2 linked regions of the Alligator mississippiensis genome follow. The protein of the gene in region 2 interacts with the protein of the main gene of each other region in a biochemical or structural test. Links are inferred from orthologs where the notes say so. Each region holds a gene or a part of one and is shown on either strand. Other genes may lie near its edges.

Region 1 (10,321 bases), on a different chromosome or scaffold from region 2:
CCGTCAAAGCAGCATAACACTCCATTGGATGCTTCTACGAGACACTTTACTGTGCAGCAGACTAATTTGCTGTGCAGTAATTAGGGCATAGTACACTAATTTAATGCGTTGCTGGATAGTCCCATCAGATACAAATAGTATCTGGCAGTGCAGTAAATTACTGCATGTGTAGATGGTGACATTGTTTACTCCAGCTCAAATTGAGCCAGACTATTTTTAGTCACGTTAATTGCACAGGTAGACAAGCCCATTAAGGACTACCTTACAGGTACACCAGCTTATCAAGAGGCCTTGAAAGCCATTAAGCAGATGCAGAACAACAAAGCATGTGGTCCTGTTGGCATGCCAGCTGAAATTTATAAACAAGGTAGAAAAAAGCTCTCTTACCAACTGCACATCATTATTATGAAAATATGGAAACATGAAGAGATTCCAAGTGACTTGAGAGATGCCAGAATAATCATTACTATATTCAAGAAAGGTGATAGATTGGATTGCAACAGTTACTGTGGTATTGCACTCTTCTCCATAGCTGGGAAGACCTTCACCCACATTCTTCTCAATAGACTCATTTTCCTCACTGAGGATATTCTACCTGAGCCCCAGTGTGGTTTCACATCACTCAAAGGTGAAATAGATATCATCTTTGCTGCTAGACAGCTGCAGGAGAAGTGTTGCATGAGACACTGAGATCTTTATATGGCGTTCATTGACCTAAGGCCTTTGATTTAATCAACAAATAAGTCCTATGGAAGATCTTGATGAGATTTGGATGTCCGTTAAAATTTGTTACCATCATCAGACTCCTTGTCAAAATGACAGCAAGCAATTCTTTGCTTAGTGGTTTGGAAATGGCCCTCATCATTATTAGAACTGGAGTTAAGCAACGATGTGTGATTACACCAACACACTTTTCCATCTATATCACAGCCATTCTGCATTTTATTGCTGATAGACTTCCACCTGAAATCAGCAACCAATATCATGTGGATGGGAATTTCTTTAACATTAACTGATTCATTTCCAAATCCAAGATAACAGTATTATTCAGCTGACCAGAACAGCATTCTAAACCGTGGTCTAAACCATGCCATGTACAGTGATGCTAGTACCTCCCTGTGTGTACTAAATGCACTCCACCTTATCACTCCAGCATTGTGAAAGTCTTTTTCAGCCTTTCCCATCAGTGGCTCATGGTGATTCTATAATCATTCAATATACCCTCTTTTCCTCAGTTGTCGTCGGTCTAGGGGCATCCCCATCTTACAGCTGAAATCTTTTACAGTGATCCTTAAGTGCATGATTTTGTACCTCATACTATTGAACTTAATTCTATTTCTAAAGCTCCATTCCACAAGGTGATTGAAATCTTCCTCTGTAACAGGGGTACTCAACTTGTGATCCATGGGCCAAATCTGGCCTGCAGAGCAATGGTATCTAGCCTGTGGCGTTCCTCACAGATCACAAAATTTGTCAATGGGGGAATAGTAACAATTAACAAAGCTACCCCTCCCTTGCTACCAAATTCCCAAACCCTTCTCATTCAGGTTGAGGGCTGAGCCGCACTGTCTTTCCCCCATGTGGCTGGATCAAAGCCAAGCTGCCTCCCACCCCACTCCATACAGCTAGACTAGGTCCACTTGTTGGCTCTGGATATAGAACCCGGACCCAGAGGCCTTGTTCCAGGTGGGGACCCACCCTCAGACTGGCAACAACCTCTCCATTCAATAACAGGCAAATTTATTGTTACACAGTGATAACAGAAAAGAAGCAATACTAACAATCAAGCAAGTCTATATATCTACCAAATCCTAGGTCTGTCATCAGAGTCAAAGTACATCTGGCCAGGATGCAGTCTCCACTCTGAGGCTCTTTCTTAGGTGTCAGATGTCCAACAGTCAGGAGGTGGGATGCCGAGGCCCACAGCCCTTTCCAGTGGGGTGGATGAGATGGGCTGCTCATATGCCCTCCATGATGGCCTCAGGGACCCTTCCTGGGGGAGGGGAATCCCTCTCAGGGAGGAGAAGGACAGGGATGAAACGAGGAAGGAGGGAGAAGGGACAAAGGGGGGGATGGACAAAGGGAAGGACTCTTTGTTACTCTCAAGTCTCTGCTTTTGTATCCTTCTTCCCTCTTCATGACTCCTGATGACTCTTGATCCATGGCTATCTCTGGTTGGTTGTCTCTCTGTGGTCACACTTCCACATACTGTATCGTCACCACATTCCAAACTCATCACATGCATACATAGTCATTTGGTCTTTCTGGGCCTTCTCCTAATTTGGTCTGTTCTCCCAAAACCAGGACACAGCTGCCCTCCACCCCCACTCCCTGCTGCTGCTCTGGGGCCTTGCAACTGGTGTCACTTTATTTCATCTTATGGGACAGTATGGTATATGCTCCCAGTTTCCAGGCTGTTTTCTAGACTGGTATCCTTGTTGTGTTAGACAACCTGTCTGCTTCGAGGGCTGTGAGAAACTTTGTGTGTGAGACCCAAGCTCTTTAGAAATCAATTAATCCCTGCTGTCCATCAATTATAATATATCTATCTATACCTATAATCCAATTCCCCAAAAAACAAACCTTTAAATACCATTTCTAAGCCAACACCACTGGCTGGATCCAGTGGCAGAACTGGGCACCGCCCATCTGGTCCACGAGGCAAAAAGAATTAGTGTCCCTGCTCTATAATAACCTGGTCCTTTTCTGCATTGGGAAAATCCTCCAATTGTATTGGAAAAATCACCCAACTAAGTGTCAGGCTTGCCACGGTGCACCTGAATCCACTACAACTGTTTTGTAATTTGCCTGTTTGTAATTTTGGGGGTTATCTTCACTTACTGCAAGGCAGGAATGAGACAAAACAGTGACAGTGGATCAGCTGATATGTGCTCCCAAGCAATGCATCTCCTTCCCCTTGAAGTCCTCTGCCCATGTCCTTTGCTTCCCTACAGGCCCTTGCTAGCAAGCAGGAAATAGTCAGGCCCGTAACATATAAAGTGATAACAGTTTTTTCTCAATCTATAGTATCTCCTTCTCCACACAATGAGATGAAAGAAACCTCATAAGAAAATTCTTCTGTGCTTTCCCACTCCTGATCTCCAGCTTAAAGGCTCTTTAAAAAGTATGTCCATATCTAACTAACATCTATTCCAGCTCTGCACTTGATCCAATAAAAGATATCACTAAAAAGTAGTTGCCTATCTATATGTGTCCTGAACCATCACATCTACAACACTTTAACCCTCCTCCTGCAGAAAATTCATTGGTAAGAGATAAATACAATCCTCTTTCCAGGGCTTAGTTGTTAGCATACAAAATATTTGTAAGGTTCTCTACATAAATACGTCTTCTATTTTTTTTCAGGACAAACTCAAAGCTGGAAATGCTCTGGAATTTTTGGGACTTGATAGAAAACAATTTGTATCACTTTGAAATTACTAGAGAAACCAAACAAGCACAATGGAGCATCTTCTATATATCTACATCAGTGTGTTGTGCATACCTACACACAGGCAAACATATGTTTCTACTATACTAATGTCAAATAAACTCTGCTAATAAATGATTTACTGTTACTGATCGTAAAAGCAAGGGCACTGGAAATCTGGGGATTTCTCTGCATCCTTAGATCTTTGAGGATCCTTCTTTCCTCCAGAATGGGACAGGTCATTGCTTCCAGCTGTTATAACCCACTGAACTTTAATCAGCACTCTTGAAAAGCTAACTCAGAGATTTGTGAATGGCATGCCTTTTCAGTCTTTGCTACCTAGGAAGCCTAATGAACACAGTTTGAGTGCCAACACTTGCCTATATATCACTGCTCATTGTTTCATCAGAAATATCCATATGAATGTGTCTGGGACTATAAGATCTTTAGGGCATAAATCGTGTTCTCTTATTTGTGTGGAAAGTGTTTTGCACATTATTGGCGTTACCAGAATAAAAATAAATAAAGAACAATAAACAGTGTGGTTTGATGTTCCATTCACTTAAAACAGGTATTTCACAGGAGGCTCCATGTTCTAAATAGAAAAACACATTAACATTTTTATCACATTGTACACCTGGGAATTATTCTGTAGGATATGATACCCTTTATCTAGGAAGTCCCAGTGTTCTAGGGTGGTGAAAGGTAGGTTTCCTACATCAACATAGGTTTAATCTATGTTGCTTCTCCAAGAAGTCTGTATGAAAGGCATGAACTTCAGAAGCCCTGAAGGTGTGCAGCACCTCATTAGACCAGGTACTGAGAGTTGGGAATCAGATGTCTATGTAGAGAAGGAAGGGAAAGTGGGTAACGTGACTTTAGTTAACTTTCACCATACTGTGACCTACAAGCCCTTCACTGGCAGTTCATGACTAGAGGACGTGAAAGACAAGGTACACTGTCTTTTCCTTTCAAATGTTTCTGTCCTTTAAAGTTTGTAAGTATATAGCTCTACAATTATTTTATACAAGTCTTCAATTATTTGACTGTTCGACAATTTATCCACCAGGAATTCCAATCAAGGCTGTCTAGGTGGTGACCTATGGGCCACATTCAGTCTGAGTGGGCTAAAATTGTGATATGCAGGCTCCTGCCTGGCTGCCACTCCTCCCACTGTTCCTAATGCTGCAGTGGCAGCCAGTCTTTGGGCAGGGCAGCACAGAAGGGGAAATGCTGCCCACACCCTTGCTGCCCACCAGGTGTAAGAGGGGGCTTTGCTGCTTGCACAGTTAGGGCAGTGAAGTGGAAGGAGAGCTCACCTGCATGGCAGTGGTAGTGGGGAAGGGCTCACATGAGGTGCAGGGGCTGCACATGGCAGGGGTCACAGGAGACTGCATGGCATGAGGCCCCCCGCAGCATGTGGCACATTTAGTGTGCAGCTTGGGCCCTGCATCTGGTGCAGCCTGTGACTCCCAGCTGCTCTGAAGCTGGACAGAACAGCCCTGTTTTAAGAAAACTTCAGTGGGGAAAGAGGCATCTTCAATTTTACACAAGGTCTCTTCCTCATGACCTTCCCACCAACTCTCTTTGCTTCTTTCAGATGTTTGAATGGATTTAGGAAAAAAAATAAATCTTAATTGCTCAAATACATTTTAATCAGATTAATACATTCTTAATTAATTTTCCTTTGCAAAACCCTTGATCTATCATATTAGCGAGACTACAATATTTATGTCTTTTGAGACTGCAGGCTGGAACCTCTCCAATAACAAGAAAACATATTTGATTACATTAAACCGTTACTTAATGATCACAGAATTCTTCACGGTAATTAATTAATGTGGCCTCTGAAGACGTACAGCATCGTGTGTGTTAGATATAAAATAAGATCTATTACTGAATAAAGCTATTTATGCTCGATGCCTCTGGCTCGGATTTTGCAGCCTGCGGGGCAATCCTCTATCTCCTCTTTTTTAATATATAGTTTAACGCGAATATTATGTAAATGGATCTTGAAGAGAAAAGGAAGTTTGCAAAATAATTATCCCAAGTACAGGCAGTCCTCAGACTTATGACACAATTGGTTCCTGAAAACCGTGTCTTAAGTCGAAACGTCGTAACTCGGAACCGATTTTCCCATGGGAAACAACGTTATAAATGGGGACGGGTTCCTGAGCCAAGGCCCGATACCCTATTTTCACCCAAAACAACCCAGAATTTTGTATTTAATCAATTATAGATGAGTAACGTATTTATATTGCAAATAGCAATCATATTGATTTGGAAGGACTTCTTTGAGGTGACTTGGCTGGGCCTTTTGACGGGCTCTTGGTTGGACGTTTTGAAGGACTCTTGGCCCGAGTCTCCTCGGGAATCTCGGCTGCAGGTTTTTCCGGCGTCTCGTCCGCTTTCTTAAAGAAAAAGCGTCCAAGGAAGCTTGCACAGACGTTCTCTGGGGAGACGGACGCTGCGGCAAACTTGTTTGCAGACGCCCGATCCAGAGTCAAGTCGAACCTTACGTCAGAAAGCCGAAACGGGATGGGTCTGAAGAGCAACACGTCGTAACTCGAAACGATGCAAGTCGAGGACCTCGAACGACATGCACCCGACGCGTTATACCACTTCCACCAACAAGTCTCCAAGGAAGCGTTAATCTGATTGCAATACAACAGCTGGAAAACTTCCTGTGTCCAAGACGGGAGTTCCCAAAACTTCCAGGTTGAAAAGATGAGCAGCAAGGCTACCCCCACCTCCCTGCTCCTCAGCCCTCTGGGCTCGAGGCCCCGCCTCCAAACATCAAGGGCGGGGCCCCGGGGGCGGAGCCAGCGTCAGGACAAAGACCGCGAGGCCAAGCCCCGCCCCCTGCCTCCGCGAGTTCTCCCTGCCCAATCCGCGCTGCGGAAAAAGGGCTTTAACGTCATTTCCGGAGCCTCTTCCAGCCCCCACCCCTCGCCGGCCGAGCGGGCGGGAAGAAAGGGGGGGAAATGCCCATGCTCTTCCCGCGCTCTGTATGGCGCAGCCGTGCCACGTGACCGTCCCTCTCCGCGCGGCGCTCTGGCCTCGCTGCCTCGCCACTCTATGGTGGCAGCGGATTAGACCGCCGCCGGGCGCCGAGTTCTCGCGAGAGCGGCATGGAGGGCGAGGCGGCGGGCGGGGCGGCCGGAGCTGGCGGAGGAAGTGTCATGGCGGCGGCGGGGAGCGGGGCGGGCGCGGCGGCGCGGGGTGGCGGTGGCGGCGGCTCCAGCACTGCGTCGCGCTGGTTCTTCAGCCGGGAGCAGCTGGAGAGCACGCCGTCCCGGCGCTGCGGCGTGGAGGCCGACAAGGAGCTCTCGTACCGGCAGCAGGCGGCCAACCTCATCCAGGACATGGGCCAGCGCCTCAACGTGTATCCGCCGGGCCGGGCCGGGCCGGGCCGCAGCCTCCAGCCGCTGCTGGCTGCGGCCTCGCGGGAGGGCGGGGGCAGTGTGTGGCGGAGGAGCCCCGGGGTCGGGTTTCCTTGGCCTGCTCGGGCCTGCGGGCAGGAGGCTCCGGCTCGGCCCCCAGGGCTCTCCCTTCCCCTCAGCCGTCAACGCTTTCATTAATATTATGAGGATTGTCTATCTGAGGCAGCAGCAGCAGCACCCAAAAAAAGGCCCCGCTCTTGCCTGCTGGTTGCTGCAGCTTAATAGAGGGAGCCGAGCTTAAACAGGTGCTCAAAATACTCCTGGAGGCGAGGAGTCTCCTTCCCGTGGCAGCTCTCATGTGCAGCCCAACGAAGGATGGGGATGTTTTGGGGTTTTTTAGACGAAGCCTTGGCTCTGGGATGATGTAGCTGGGTCTGGCCCTGCTTTGAGCAGGGGGTTGGACTGGATGTGACTTCCCGAGGTCCTTTACAACCCTTGTTTTGGCCCAGCATTCGGAAGAACCCAGGGATCCTCTGAATGCTTGGCCAATGGAAAGCATAACATACAAAAAGGAACTTATCGCTAGATGTTAATGTACAAGGCACTAGCACGAGCGTGTTGTACCAGTGGTGTGTCCCAGCCGAGCAGAGCTGGCTCGAGTTACGTCCCCAGGAGGGACGTGTTGTAGGGGAGAGTCGTGGCTTGATGATGATCTTAATTTGTTACTCCTTTGGTGATGTGAAATTTCCTTAATGCTGTCTTTCAGGTCTCAACTTACAATAAATACTGCAATTGTTTACATGCACAGGTTTTATATGCATCATTCCTTCACAAAATTTAATAGGAATGTAAGTACATTTTTGCATGCCTATCTGTGCTTGTGTGTGCGTGACGTGGAGGGAACAGCCGACTTTTTTTTTTTTCTATATGTGCTAACTCTTGGAGGTTAAAGTCTCATTATATCTTGGGAGATTGTAGCTTTGTGTCAACCGCTATTTTAGAAGCATTATTATTTAAAATTAAATAATTTTATTTAAATAAATAAATAAATACATTTTATTTATTTAAAGCAAAGACTAATGATTTCTCTTGTTATGCTAAAGAATAAATGTATAGGCCAACAGCTTAGCTTGTATTAGTTGCTGGTATTAGTTATTGTATAACTTTTATTTTAATTATGCTTATCTGGCTAGTGTTAGTGCCTTGTAGTTTTGAAAATTGGATATGAGATCTGAGGTCCCTTTCTACCCAAATTTTCTATGATTCTGTGAGAACAAACAATACATTGCTTACTTTTGCGCACATATCATGACCAGCCAGCAGAATTATTGTTGGCTTCTCTGTTTATAAAAGCCACCATTAAGTTATGTAACAACTGGCCTTCCTCAAGTAACTTAATGGCCAGTAATAGTAGAAAATAAAAATCCATTCTTGCAAGCAGGCCCAGTTATCTTGTGAATAACCTACCAGGTAACTTGATGTTAAATCTTTAATAAAAATTAAAAATAAAAATCCTGGTTGTAACTGAGTGTTTTAACTCTTACTGGTTGGTGTCATAGCTTAAGATTCTGATTAATGTGAAATCACAAACCTATTTTTCACGTCAGTTGTATGGGCTGTAAAAGTAAAAAAAAATATTGACTTGGTGGTTTCTTTGTATTAAGAAACAGCATTTTTTTTATATTTGTTTGTATCCCATGTATAAAAATAGTTGATAATGGAAGGAAATCTGTTGCTTGAGTGGTAAGGAAAGGCCTTGGCTACACCATAAAAAAGTTTTTGGGGCGGGGGGGGATGTTTTTGGTTTTTAAGGCTGATGTGAAATGTGTTTTTATTTTGGGTTTGTTATCAAGTTTGTTTTTATTTTGTTTGTTTTTGTAATTTGTGGGCATTGAAGTAAGAAATACTCCATGTCTCTTCATAGAACATTGGTGATTCCCCAGACAAATTTCACAGCCATCCTGAATTTTTTTGCCACAAGGAAGCCTAAGGCGAATTTGTAGTAAACTGGTTACTAAACAGTTGCAGTGTGTTTAGGCCTTAGTTACAAATAATATATTTAAGGCTCTGTTTATATAACAAGAATAATTGTCTAAATGCAGTTCTGGGATGTGATTGTCCCTTGTGCTTGGACACTACTACTTGAATGAAGAAAAGTGATGCCCTGAAAATGCTAGGGAGGAGGCAGTCTGTTAAGTGCTAGGAGGACATGCCTAGATTAAAATGTCATTCCCTAAAATAGTTTTCTATTTTCAAGGCAAGTAAAGTGTTAAAACAAGATTAGGACACACACATTTATCACAATAGCATATAAGCATAGTATATTTTGGTAGATACAAGTTAATTATGGGTGTCTTGTAGATCCTTTTAAAGGCACTAGAAACTATGTACGTCATCCATCTTCCTTATTACGATGGATAAGTGTATAATCTGAAAAATGCCAGCATGTGGAGCATTAGCCAGTAAGATGTCAAAATATGTTTATGGCTCCTGTGTACAATTTATAGCTCTTCCAAATGAGGCAATTTCACTTGGAGTGGTGGTTTTCTTTAACATATTGTTTCCACAACTCGGATTGGTGGTGTATGGGGTAAAGTAATCCATTGGATAACAAAAAAAAAAAAAAAAAAAATCTAGTAACAAAATTCAGGCTCAGTAGTAGTTGGGATGGTTGTCAACTGCCATTTACTACACGTTAATAAATATGGTCACTTAGTTCTTGCTAGTACAACTAATTTTGTAAGGAGAGCTGCATTAAATAACTAGTGGTTTGAATGATAATTCAGGTTGCAAGTTACTCTTGGTTGTAAATATGGACATTTTTATATTGCTCTAAAAGTTAAACACTAGCACATTCTGACCTTCAGAACACCTGTCTTAGTGTTGTTGCCAGATAACTTAGCATTTGCTGTGCCTGTAATATCAGACAGTGGCTTTTATATTTGTGTTGATGCACGGGCATCAAATGCGCTGCTTTATTTTTGTTCTTTTTCTATTCTTTTAGGGTGAAGGGGGTGGTCTCAAAGAGAATGCAAGTCAGATTTAAATTCATACTCCCAAGCCATCTGGCAAGTTCTTTATAGAAGGGCAGAGGCCAAAGACCAAAATAAATACTTATCAAAATCTTCTGAATGCTTGGCCAGTTGAAAGCCAAACATTCACTCACTGCAAGAAGAAATTTATCACTAGATGTTAATGTACAAGGCACTAGCAATCTTCAAAGTAAGGTTAGCGGAGTTTCTTACAAGTATGTGTCTAATTGTTCTTGTACATGCACTGGGACTGTGGGCAGACCATGACAATACACTATTTTAAGCAGGAGAGGAGGATGCAACTTACTGTTCAGGAGTGAATGAAGCACATCTAAAATTAACAACAGTTTCTGTCCATTAATACCAATGACCTGGACAGATGAAATTGTCTCATTGCTTCCACATGACTTGTGGTAATTGTTTTCATTTGTCTGTATCCTTTGCTGTTCCTTTTTACTCATGGCAATGAGAAATTT
Region 2 (10,205 bases):
AACTAGGAGCTGGTGAGAAGTACCCTGCCATCATTCACCAAGTCAGTAAACCCAGTGTGTAGTCAGGCAAGCACCCCTTTGTCAGCCCTCATACCTCAGTCCTGAGGGGGAAAGGCCAGGGCAAGTCCCAACTACATGGTTTCTGTAGTGCTTGGCCCTCCAGGTTGTTTTCATGGAAGACAGACAAGAGCTTAGGTCTCTTTCATTTTGTCCTCAGGCACAGTGTTTCACTGGACTATTCTGCAGAGCTGGATCCTTCTCCACAAATATACCCTATGTTTTCACACTGGTCACTGCTTGCTCTACTACAGCTTTCCAACTTCACAGAGTACAGAAGCCACAAAACCTAAAACCCCGAAGCCAAGAATTTGTCTGTGTAGCTCTGCAGGGATGATAAAAGTGTATGTTCTCAAGACTTAGTCTGGACAGAACCACAGTGGCCAGCGTTCAGGTGCCTATTTATCAAAAGATACATAAATGGCCCCTGAAATCTGAGCCTTGGAGCTACAGGGAAGAGAGAGAATCCAGCCTCTGCCCTTTACCTTATTCCTGTGGATGTAGTAGAGTCCGTTCAGCAGCATCTGCATCACCTTCTTGATCTCTGACAGCGTAAACTTCACATGCGCATTGCTGAGCAGGCCGGCGAGGTCGTGCTCACAGAAGTCAAACACCAGGTAGATGCTGCCCTTGCAGCGGTTGTATGGGGAGGCTAAGGGACAAGCCAGGGGCAACTGCTGAAAGGTCAGTCACCAAGACTGCGCCCCCCGAAACTGGTCACTAGCTCCCCCATTACCATGCTCTAAGGCCACAGCATCAAGATGCTATCCAGCCTCAGTGCTAGCACCATTCTGAGGTAAACACTACCATATCATGCAAAGGGAAGATGTTCACATCCATGTTAGAGGCAGTTAAGCACAAGTCAGGGCTGAACACAGCCTCACACCTGCCTGTCCTTTTTTGTCTGGTCACCTACAGAGATTACTGAAACATCACCAAGAGACAGAAAAATAAGTCTCTGGCCCAAGAGTCTTCCCACCTGGATTATCCATAAAAGGTATCAAAAGCAGAGGCCAGAGAAGGAGGCATGAAGGTCAAAGTCATGGTAAGGTGCACAAGGAAAAAACAAAAACCAAATGTGCTTGAAGGATGACAAACCATTTAAACAGTTGTGGAGTAAACAACCTTTCAGGTTCTTAAGTTGTTTTACATTTTTAAATTTGTTAGAAAGTGGTAAATAACATTTCTTTATGATTTGTGTAAACATTTATAGATTCATAGGTGTTAGGGTCGGAAGGGACCTCAATAGATCATCGAATCCAAACCCCTGCATTTATTCAGCCAGAAACTGAAGCTTAATCAGTAACGCAAAGTTACTTTGCAACCATTTCTTATTAGTCGAATAGAGCTAGCCGAACCTTAGTTTCATAGTTGGTAGGGTCGGAAGGGACCTGAGCAGATCATCAAATCCGACCCCCTGCTATGGCAGGAAAGAGTACTAGGGTCAAACAACCCCAGCAAGGTGTTTATCTAGCCTCCTCTTAAAGACCCCCAGGGTAGGAGCCAGCACCATTTCTCTTGGAAGTTGGTTCCAGATCCTAACTACCCTGACTGAAGCAGCGCGTCCTGATGTCTAGTCTGAATCTACCCTCTGCCAGCTTGTGACCGTTATTTCTAGTCACTCCTGGTAGTGCTCGGGGGAACAGGGACTCCCCCAATGTCTGTTGGTCCCCTCCGACTTGCTGGGCACAAAAAAAAAAAAAAGAGAGAAACAAGATCCATTTGGTCAACGAATCAATAGCTAGTTAGTGTAAACTAACTATGAATCAGTAGCGATTATTTCTGGCCATTATGCCCTACAACATTTAAAAACTAGCATCTCATTCTAGTGCCTTATTTGGCATTCCATAGAGTGAAAGAAAGCAATAGGAAAGAAAGCTTGTTTGCCCAGATTTGGGAACTGAAAACAAGTCAGTGAACTGAACTAGCTGAATGAACCAAAACGAACAATGTTCTTCTCCAGGTGCAGAGAATGAAATGCTATCAAAAACCGATTTGGCACTTTAGCAGACTGACTCCAGGGGCTAAACCAGAGATTTCCATCATTTCAGTGGCATGATTTTCTTTACAATTTCAACACCTGGCAGGCACTGCTTGAATTTTTATTTAAGCCTTGGCAGTTTTAGCACATATGCTTACCATCATCCATTAAAGTTGTCAGGATGTCAAACAGGTTTATTTTTAAAAGAAAACAAAAAATCAAAAACCTATATTTGGTTTAAAAATTTTAAAAACTTTTTAAAAATTAACTTTTATCTACTCGCTTCCAGTGGCCTTACATGCTAGGTCCTGTAGAGAAGAGGCAACATCCTCCCTGCCAGAAACTGTCCACAAAACAACGAGTCAAAGAACAAGCAGGCATTCAAGTGATGGAACTGCACTGTGAAAATGGAAAGCCATTGAATTCATCTACTAAAGTATAGGCAGTTCCTCCCCAAGCAACAGTAAGTGAACACACTGAGCCAAAGTACTATTATAAAACCAGAGTTAAATAGTCACCCTGTATTGTGCTAAATAAATCCAGCTACTGCTGCAAAAGCAACACAGAATAGATATATTTTATATCTATTGATGCTTTAAAAGGAAAAAAAAAATCAATTTCAGGACAAGAAATTTACATCAGGTTTCTCTCCAGTGTGATTTTAAGGCAACACACACAAAAGCATGAGCTTTCCTGTATACAAAAGACAGATATGTACGCAGGCCTTTCACTGTTGTAGCACAATATTTCAAAGGAGTCTATGAAAGCTTCATCTACATGAGTTACAATACAACCAAGTACAAGCTGATGCCTTGCCAGATCCCCTGGACTTCCTATCTTACATCTCATGTAGGAATGATGCATTACAAATAGCACACCTCCTAGCTCTTACACAGCACTTTCCACCAGTAGGGATTGAACTGCTTTACAAAAAGGGTCAATAGCATTGCTCTCTCTGTGCAGACAGGGGAACTGCAGCAAAGGGAGGAAAGCGATGTGCACCCAGTCACCCAGCAGGCCAATGTTACTGGATACTCCAGAAAGCAGCTGACATGAGCCAAGAGGGGAACAACAAAACAATACCTTTGGTCCTGCAGATCTCTATAAGGTTCACCACGTTCTCATGCTTGAGCAGCTGAAGGATTTTAATCTCTCGCAGGGCTGTGATAGGAAACTGAAAAAGGAGAAATGAGGCCCACCGGTTAGGATGGCAAAGGATCATATCAGACTGGTCTGGAGCCCTTGAGAGGATTAAAGAGACAAAGCGGAAACACTCAAACAGAAACAACACAGACCTCAAATACAATTAGAGCGAGACGCTGAGCCCAACTTGGTGGAAACCCAAAGCTGTGCTCGGTGCCTTCCAGGCATGTTTGCAAACCAAGACTGATGCGAGAGCTGCCGAGCGCTCTTAGCAAAGACGGTGAATGCTGCGGGTGCTGAAAATCCTCAGGGGAACAGACCTTTATTCCACAGCACCCAGTTTAACCTGGGATGGGGAAAGGGTGCAGATCTATTCTGCTTCTGACCCTACTGCTGGCAATTCAGACTTGACAGGTGGACCAGACCCACGTGGTGGACACAAGCCAGGTCAGCAAAGCGCTCACCCCCTTCAGTGTCTCACTGGGGTCCGTCCCGCAAGGCAAGGGCAGCCACGAGGCTAACGAGAGAGGTACAGCACCAAGCAACCTTACCCCTGCATACGAGCGCACCACGCTTGCTGGATGGAAACGGCCTCACACGTTGCAGAGACAGACACCAACGTGGCTACGGAGCCCAGCAGCAAAGTGCCCCACGAACAACCTGCACCCTCCCAACAACTCTGCCCGGGGTATTACAGGGCTCTAGCCGCCCCCAACACACCGCACGCCTGCCTTACCCCCTCCTTCTCGTTCTCCATCAGCACCTTCTTCAGCGCCACCTTCTTGCCCGTCTGCCGGTGCTTGGCTTTGAACACCTCCCTGCGGGGCGAAAGAGGCCGCGCTCAGCCACGCGCGAGTGGCCGCAGCCCAGCGAGGGCGAGCCAGACCCAACTGCCTCCCCCCACCCGGGGCAGGGCCGGCTGCTCGGCCCGGAGGGGGCAGCTGGCCCCTAGGAAGCCCCGAGGAGGGCAGCGGGGACGGGCTCGCGCAGCCCCGGGAGGCCCCAGGCCGGGGGGGCGGGGGCAGGAGGGGCTCCCGGGGCCTGTACCCGGAGCGGCGGGGCGGGGCGGGGGGCGCTCACCCGAAGGTGCCCTGGCCGATCTTGGCCAGCTTCTCGTACTTGGACACCTCGTCGCAGAAGGGGCACTCCACCATGTCGTACTGCTTGGCCATGCTGCTGCTGCCACCGCCGCCCGGCCCGGCCCGCCGCGGGGCCGCCTGCTCGCTCAGAGCCGGCGCGCTGCCGCCCGCGCCTCGCCCGGGGCTTCCGGATCCGCCGGCCATGCTCCACTACTTCCGGGGCGCCGCCGCGCTGCCCGCTGGGAGCTATGGTTCTGGAAGAGCCGCGAGAAGAGGGCGGATCGAGAGGCCGTCACGCGGGCGCGGATTGGGCGGGGATCCGCGCCTGCCCCGCCCCGCGCTGCGTGTGTGATTGGCCCGCGTGCTCGCTGAGTGACGCACGCGTGGCCTCGCGGTCGGTTGCGTCATCGACTGCGAACGTTACGTCATCGCACTGTTCCCTGGAGCATCCACCTGCCCCGCCCCCTCCTCCCAGCACTCGCGTCCCCCGGGGTGTCGTCACACGGCGGCGTGACGTCAAGGCGCCCCTGTGACGTCACCCCTGTTTCATTGCAGCAGCCCTGGGACAGCTGTGTATGGCCTCCTGTCCACTATCTTTAGGCTTGCGCATAGCCTCAGTGCATTGTACATTGCCAGGTGCGCTCACCCATGGGTGCCAGCTGCAGTGACGGGCGCCGGGTGCCCTGCCATACTCATCCCTCATGGGAGCGTCGTGGGCTTTCTCCTCCGACCCTTGAGAGACCGGAGCCTGCGGCACCAGCAGGACCTCTGCCAGGGCTGCCCAGGGTCTGGCAGGGCCTTGTGGCTCCTGGGGCTCGTAACCCCCAGATTGTCCACGCGTCAGCACCTGAAGCTGGGTTGCAGCGCTCGTGGTGGCGCGGGGCTCAGAGCGCCAGGGCAGGGCTTTGCTCTCTGCCACCTACCTACAAGTAAGTAGTGCTCTAGTGAGGGGAAGCAAGGGGGGAACGGAGGAAGCCCCAGAGGCAGGGGACTGGGGGAAGCCCAGAAGGGGAGGGGGGGTTCTTACCTTTCAGTCCTCCAGGCCCCCTCCGGCCTGAAGTGTGACCGCTCCAAACCCGAGCCAGCACTGACCCCCCATCTATACTTGTGCAGCTCATAGTGTAAGGTGTAACAAGGCCCTAATACCAGGCTCTGGCCTCTTGTCAGTCTGGGAAGGAAAAGAAGGAATAGTAATCGCAGGCACCTCTGCATCATCATCCTGTGCCTACACGCCACAGCAACGCATCCTGAGTCACAGTGCCACACTGAACCATCCTGTTGTGTCTCAGCATCGTTGCTTCACGCCGTGACACCCCCTCATGCCCTCATGCAGAGGACACTCGTTCTATCCGGCACATCAGCATTGCATCAGTGCAGCATCCAGCTGCGTCACTGAGTTAAATCACCTCCATAGCGTCCCGTGCTCCCCTCCAGGAGGCCAGCGCCGTGACATCTGCCTACTGCCCACGTTACAGTTTGGCAGCGTGCTCGGATGCAGCAGCAGCCGTCAGGGTGCCACAGGTGGCTACATAAGCAGAGTGCCAGCAGGGGGCTCCGAGACAGCTAAGAGAAGAGATCATTCGCAGCAGGCAGGCAGAGAAAGGATTAGCTCTTACAGCAGTCCTGAGATAAACGTCAAAGCCAAGCCCAGCTTTCAAGGGACAGAGGTAGGCAGAGGAGACAGATGTAGGGAAAAACAGCTGATGGGGCAAGGAGAGGGACGGGCTCAGTGATTAGTGGGTAAAGCAGGCAACTGGAGTCAGAACTGGCTCTGCAACTGCCCTACTGTGTGACCTTTGGCGAGTCACTTCTCTTCCATGATTCTCAGGTCTGTAAGCTAGAAAGAGACAGGTTAGAGTACCAGCAGCAAAAGCCTGTCACACCAGCAGTATTTACTGATAGCCTCTATGAGTCTCAGTGGAGAGAGCCCTAAACAGATGCCAGTTTGGACAGTGCCCATGAGAGAGCCCAACACTTGGGTCAGTTTTCATAAGCATCCATTGCTGCAACACCTGCCTGTTCTCTGAGCCCTCCCACGCTGCGTCCAGTGCTCCTCTCAGCCCTTCTATGATGCCTGGACACTGGCCCCAGTGGCTCCCCTGTCCCCTGTCTCTTCTCTGACCTTTGGGAGCTGTGTCAGATGTTTTCTGTGGCCAGAGCCTCGGCAGGCATAAAGGCTTGTGTCTCTGACTCCACTATGTTGATTTATATCCATTTCCTGCCCCTTAGCTGGAGTGAGATAAGGAGGAAACCATTTTCATTTCAATTCAGGGCAACAGAAATTGAACCCCCTCCTCCCCCCAGATGCCTTTCCCAGCCTCATGGCACTAGATTCATTAGTGGTTCCAACTGACACAAGTGATTCAGATATCCTTGGGTTCCAGGAACACAAAGATCTTGGAAGTGGGACCTGAGCTGTTCTCCAGATTCATTGGTCAGTCCTTTTGCTAGTCAGCATTTTTGAGGAAGAGATTTCATTCATCAATCAGAGAGGAATTCTCTGGGACTTTCCATTCTGTCATCTGGATGAGTGTGGTGCATGCCGGCCCTCGTCCCGGGGACACAGGCTCTGTGCTTGCCTGACCCCTGAGCACGCTGTGCTCTGTGGTACCTTCTGCCTGCCCGAGTGGTACCTTTTCACTCTGGGCACCACCTGCTGGTATTTCCCAGCTTCCAGGCTAGGGCACTGCATGTCTTTCAACAGATGATCCACATAGCAATGGGGCAGGTTGTGTTAGGGACTGAGGGAAGCCTGCAGCCCCTGCCACAGGGCTGCAGCTCTCCAGTAGGGCAGCACAACTTTGCAGCAGCTTTATCCAGTCTCAGCAGGGATAAGTGATCCTTACCAATCACCCCACATTTCCTTTCTGTTCTACCATTTGCTCAGGGAAGGAACAGCCCTCTGCCCACTGCAGCAAGTCCCTTCCCGCCCCATGGACTCAGAGCCCCATGTATGGAGGTGATCGTCTTATGATTTTGCCTCCCCGCTAGGAAACCATATTGGCAGCCCTGTCAGTCCTAACTCATTTGTTTGGAAAGGAGAGTGACTTCTAATCAACAGGCCTGATGAGTCTCCAGGCAGCACAAGGAATACAATAACTTTCCACCTTCCTAAAGGAAACTCCCACCCAGCTCACGTGGCAGCGGAGCGAGCTGCCCCAAGCTTCTTTTCCTGCCAAAACACAGCATTTGCAATCCACAGTGGAGGGAACAATCCTGCACTGGCCCCAGGGGATGGATAGGATGTGTCCGAACAGGCTGCACCAGTCTCTATGACGCCAGCTATGGGGACACCTGCCTGCAAGAGAAAAGGATTCCACAATTCTGCACTGTGCTGGGATGTTCTGTGCCGGCAAAAGTCTTCTCTGTCCTTTGCTTCCTGAAACAGCCCCTCGAGCACCCCCCTACACAGTGATTTGCCATCACACCAGTGGTACAAAACCCTTTTGACCCCCGCGATAGAGGATACAGTGCACCATTGACATTAGATCAGCTCTACTCAGAAGCTTCTGCCACTGTAGTAATGTTGCTTCTGGATAATCCCGATGCCGATATCCAACTGGTACAGCTTATTTCATTCAGAGAACTGCTGGAACAGGAGAGCAGGCCTATTCAGCTACACAATCAGAGCATTTCTAGTGTGGACAAGGCCTTATCTAGGAAGAGTTGCCTTCTAGCAAGAGCAGGGGGACTGGGTGTCTGCACTCCTGTTCTATCCTGCCTCTGCCCTGGGGCTGGTCAGAGACTCAGGCAAGTCGCTTAGAGGAAAATTTTCCATCATGGCCTTTGCTGGAAACCTTTGTGCCTGATGTTTACTGGTGTTCCCCTTTCGCTCCAAGTAAACTAGAGAAGACAACATTTTCTATCTGTCTCGTGTTTGGAAGCCTGCAGATAAAACACGCTCAGCTGTGCTGGGAAGGAATCTACTTATGACAGAGAGTGCGTGCGTGCCTTGGAGAGGGTACCGTGAAGGACACAGGTAGCTGCTGACCCATTGTCGTGAAGGCCGACTGTCTGGCTTGGTGGTCCTTGTGATGTCAGGGGCTTCACCTATCTCTGCGGAGACAAAGAGCTGTGTGCATGCAGAACAACAAGTAGCTCCTCTGAGCACAGCCAGCTGATAAAGTGTGTGTTTATGAGCGACTGTCCAAGGGGAGGGAGCACAGTGTGCAGCTCCCCTGACAGTCATGCTCTAGCTGCTGCCCACACCCTCACTGTGCCGGTGAATCACCACCTCGCAGGTCTCTGGGCAGCTTGTTGGGGCCCATATCACCAAATTCAGTCAGCTCCAAGAGAGTTCATTGTTATGCAGGGGCAAGCGCTTGTCGCCAGAGCTGCTTTGCTCCATCCTGTTGTATCATTTCCCCATGTCAGGGGCCGGGGACTGGATTTCTTCTATGGCCCCTGGGGAGTTTGGCAGGAAGCGACACAGTAAACAGGAGCAGACAATGAGCAGAGGCACTAGGGGCGGAGGCAACGCTCTCAAATTTGCTTCCAGAAACAGAGAGCTCAGTGTAACAACCCTTGTGCCGATGCAGAGCTCAGGGAAGTGGCGGACTGCCAGGGCCGTGGCTCTGCAGTTGTCTGCTTAACCAGACAGCAGGTACGGTCAGGCACAAGCAGTGCAGGTTGAAGCTCTGTGACCTCCCTGCCACCAGCTTGTACTGCAGAACCACATGGGTCCTACAGCCACCCAGACAAGCGTGAACCAAGATGTAGCTCTCAGGACCCCCAATCAGAGCACCACCCTGCTGCCTCCGCACCATCCCAGCAGGAGATGCAGACATCCGCTCACGAGGCTGATGTGAACTATGACAAAGCAATCGCACCCCCCGGTTCTCTGGCCTTCCACGGCTTGCTTCACTCTGGGCAGGTAACGCAAGGCCCCTGAATCCAGAGCAAGCATGTGAGTCAATAACAGTGGGGGGAAAAAGCTTGTTGACAAATGGGGATATCATCCATCAAAATTCAATCTTGCCTTCAGCTCTGAGTGATATGCAGGCAAATAACCTTCCATTAATTTTTCTGTAGCTTTTGGCAGCTGTTTAGATTTGGAGGCTGAAGGGAAAGATGCCATCAATCGTTCTCATACATGGGAAAGGTCCCTGCAGTGCATCCGCTCCTCATTTACTCCCCTCACTTGATTAATGCACCCCATAGCAGTGACATACACATAGCGCTGCCCCTGAGTCCTAGAAACATTAATATGTTTGAAAGCCCAGAACATACCACGACTATTGTATCTATTATAGTGCCGGTGACTATTGTATCAAGTCACCGGCACTGTGTACCCAGAAAGCAGAATGGAGGGTTTTCTCCTGAAAGCATAGGTTTGGGATTCAGGAGGTCTGGATACAAGTCCCAATTCTGCTATAGATTCCCTGTAGGACCTTGGGTAAGTCACCAAGCCTTTCTGTGCCTTGGCATTGGCACTTATTTGCTGCCTCAACAAAAGCATGGTAGAATGAATTCCTGCTTATCAATCATCCACAGACCAAAGGTGTTATGGAAATGCAAAGCCCTTTTCCTGTTTACAAGGTAAATTGAACCCAGCAGAGCTGGCAGACGGGCAGGACGAGACAATATGTGTCCAGTAAAAGAACCAGACAGGATTCCAGGGGCTGCAAACACCACACATCCCAAAGTGCTTTACAAAGGGATCAGGGATGTACAGGGACAAACACCAAAGCACAGACTGTCTCTAATGAGGAATGAGCCTCTGTCTGACCAGCAAGAGCTTCTTACTAAGCCTGAATGATATTGTACAGGCCCTGCTCCAGCTCCTGTGCTCTGGTCCCTAGTTTGCCCTCACCCCTCAGTAACACATTCCCCGGCGCTCACCCTGAGGTTTTCCTCCTGGCCCTGCCAGGTTCTGACACAGCATGGGAAATGCTAATCGTGTTACAAGCCTTTTCAAGCTGTGCCAGCCCAGCTGCTCCTCTGCA

The links. The genes of interacting proteins can lie anywhere in the genome.
Region 1: the proteins of CDK9 (region 2) and CCNT2 form a complex in vitro, tested with the Homo sapiens proteins (4 studies listed by BioGRID, with this or other methods). The link is inferred for Alligator mississippiensis from reciprocal best matches to the Homo sapiens genes CDK9 and CCNT2.

Annotation. Positions count from the first base shown.
Region 1 is NC_081827.1:238,103,868-238,114,188, reverse strand, and holds the start of CCNT2 (cyclin-T2), read left to right. Parts: upstream 1-6,423; 5' UTR 6,424-6,561; coding exon 6,562-6,815; intron 6,816-7,579; coding exon 7,580-7,661; intron 7,662-7,673; exon of another isoform or gene 7,674-10,321. Other genes in the region: ACMSD (2-amino-3-carboxymuconate-6-semialdehyde decarboxylase), read left to right, coding at 3,367-3,435. UniProt on the Homo sapiens protein: Regulatory subunit of the cyclin-dependent kinase pair (CDK9/cyclin T) complex, also called positive transcription elongation factor B (P-TEFB), which is proposed to facilitate the transition from abortive to production elongation by phosphorylating the CTD (carboxy-terminal domain) of the large subunit of RNA polymerase II (RNAP II).
Region 2 is NC_081835.1:57,369,374-57,379,578, forward strand, and holds the start of CDK9 (cyclin-dependent kinase 9), read right to left. Parts: upstream 4,451-10,205; 5' UTR 4,354-4,450; coding exon 4,262-4,353; intron 4,000-4,261; coding exon 3,918-3,999; intron 3,213-3,917; coding exon 3,122-3,212; intron 710-3,121; coding exon 543-709; intron 1-542. UniProt on the Homo sapiens protein: Protein kinase involved in the regulation of transcription.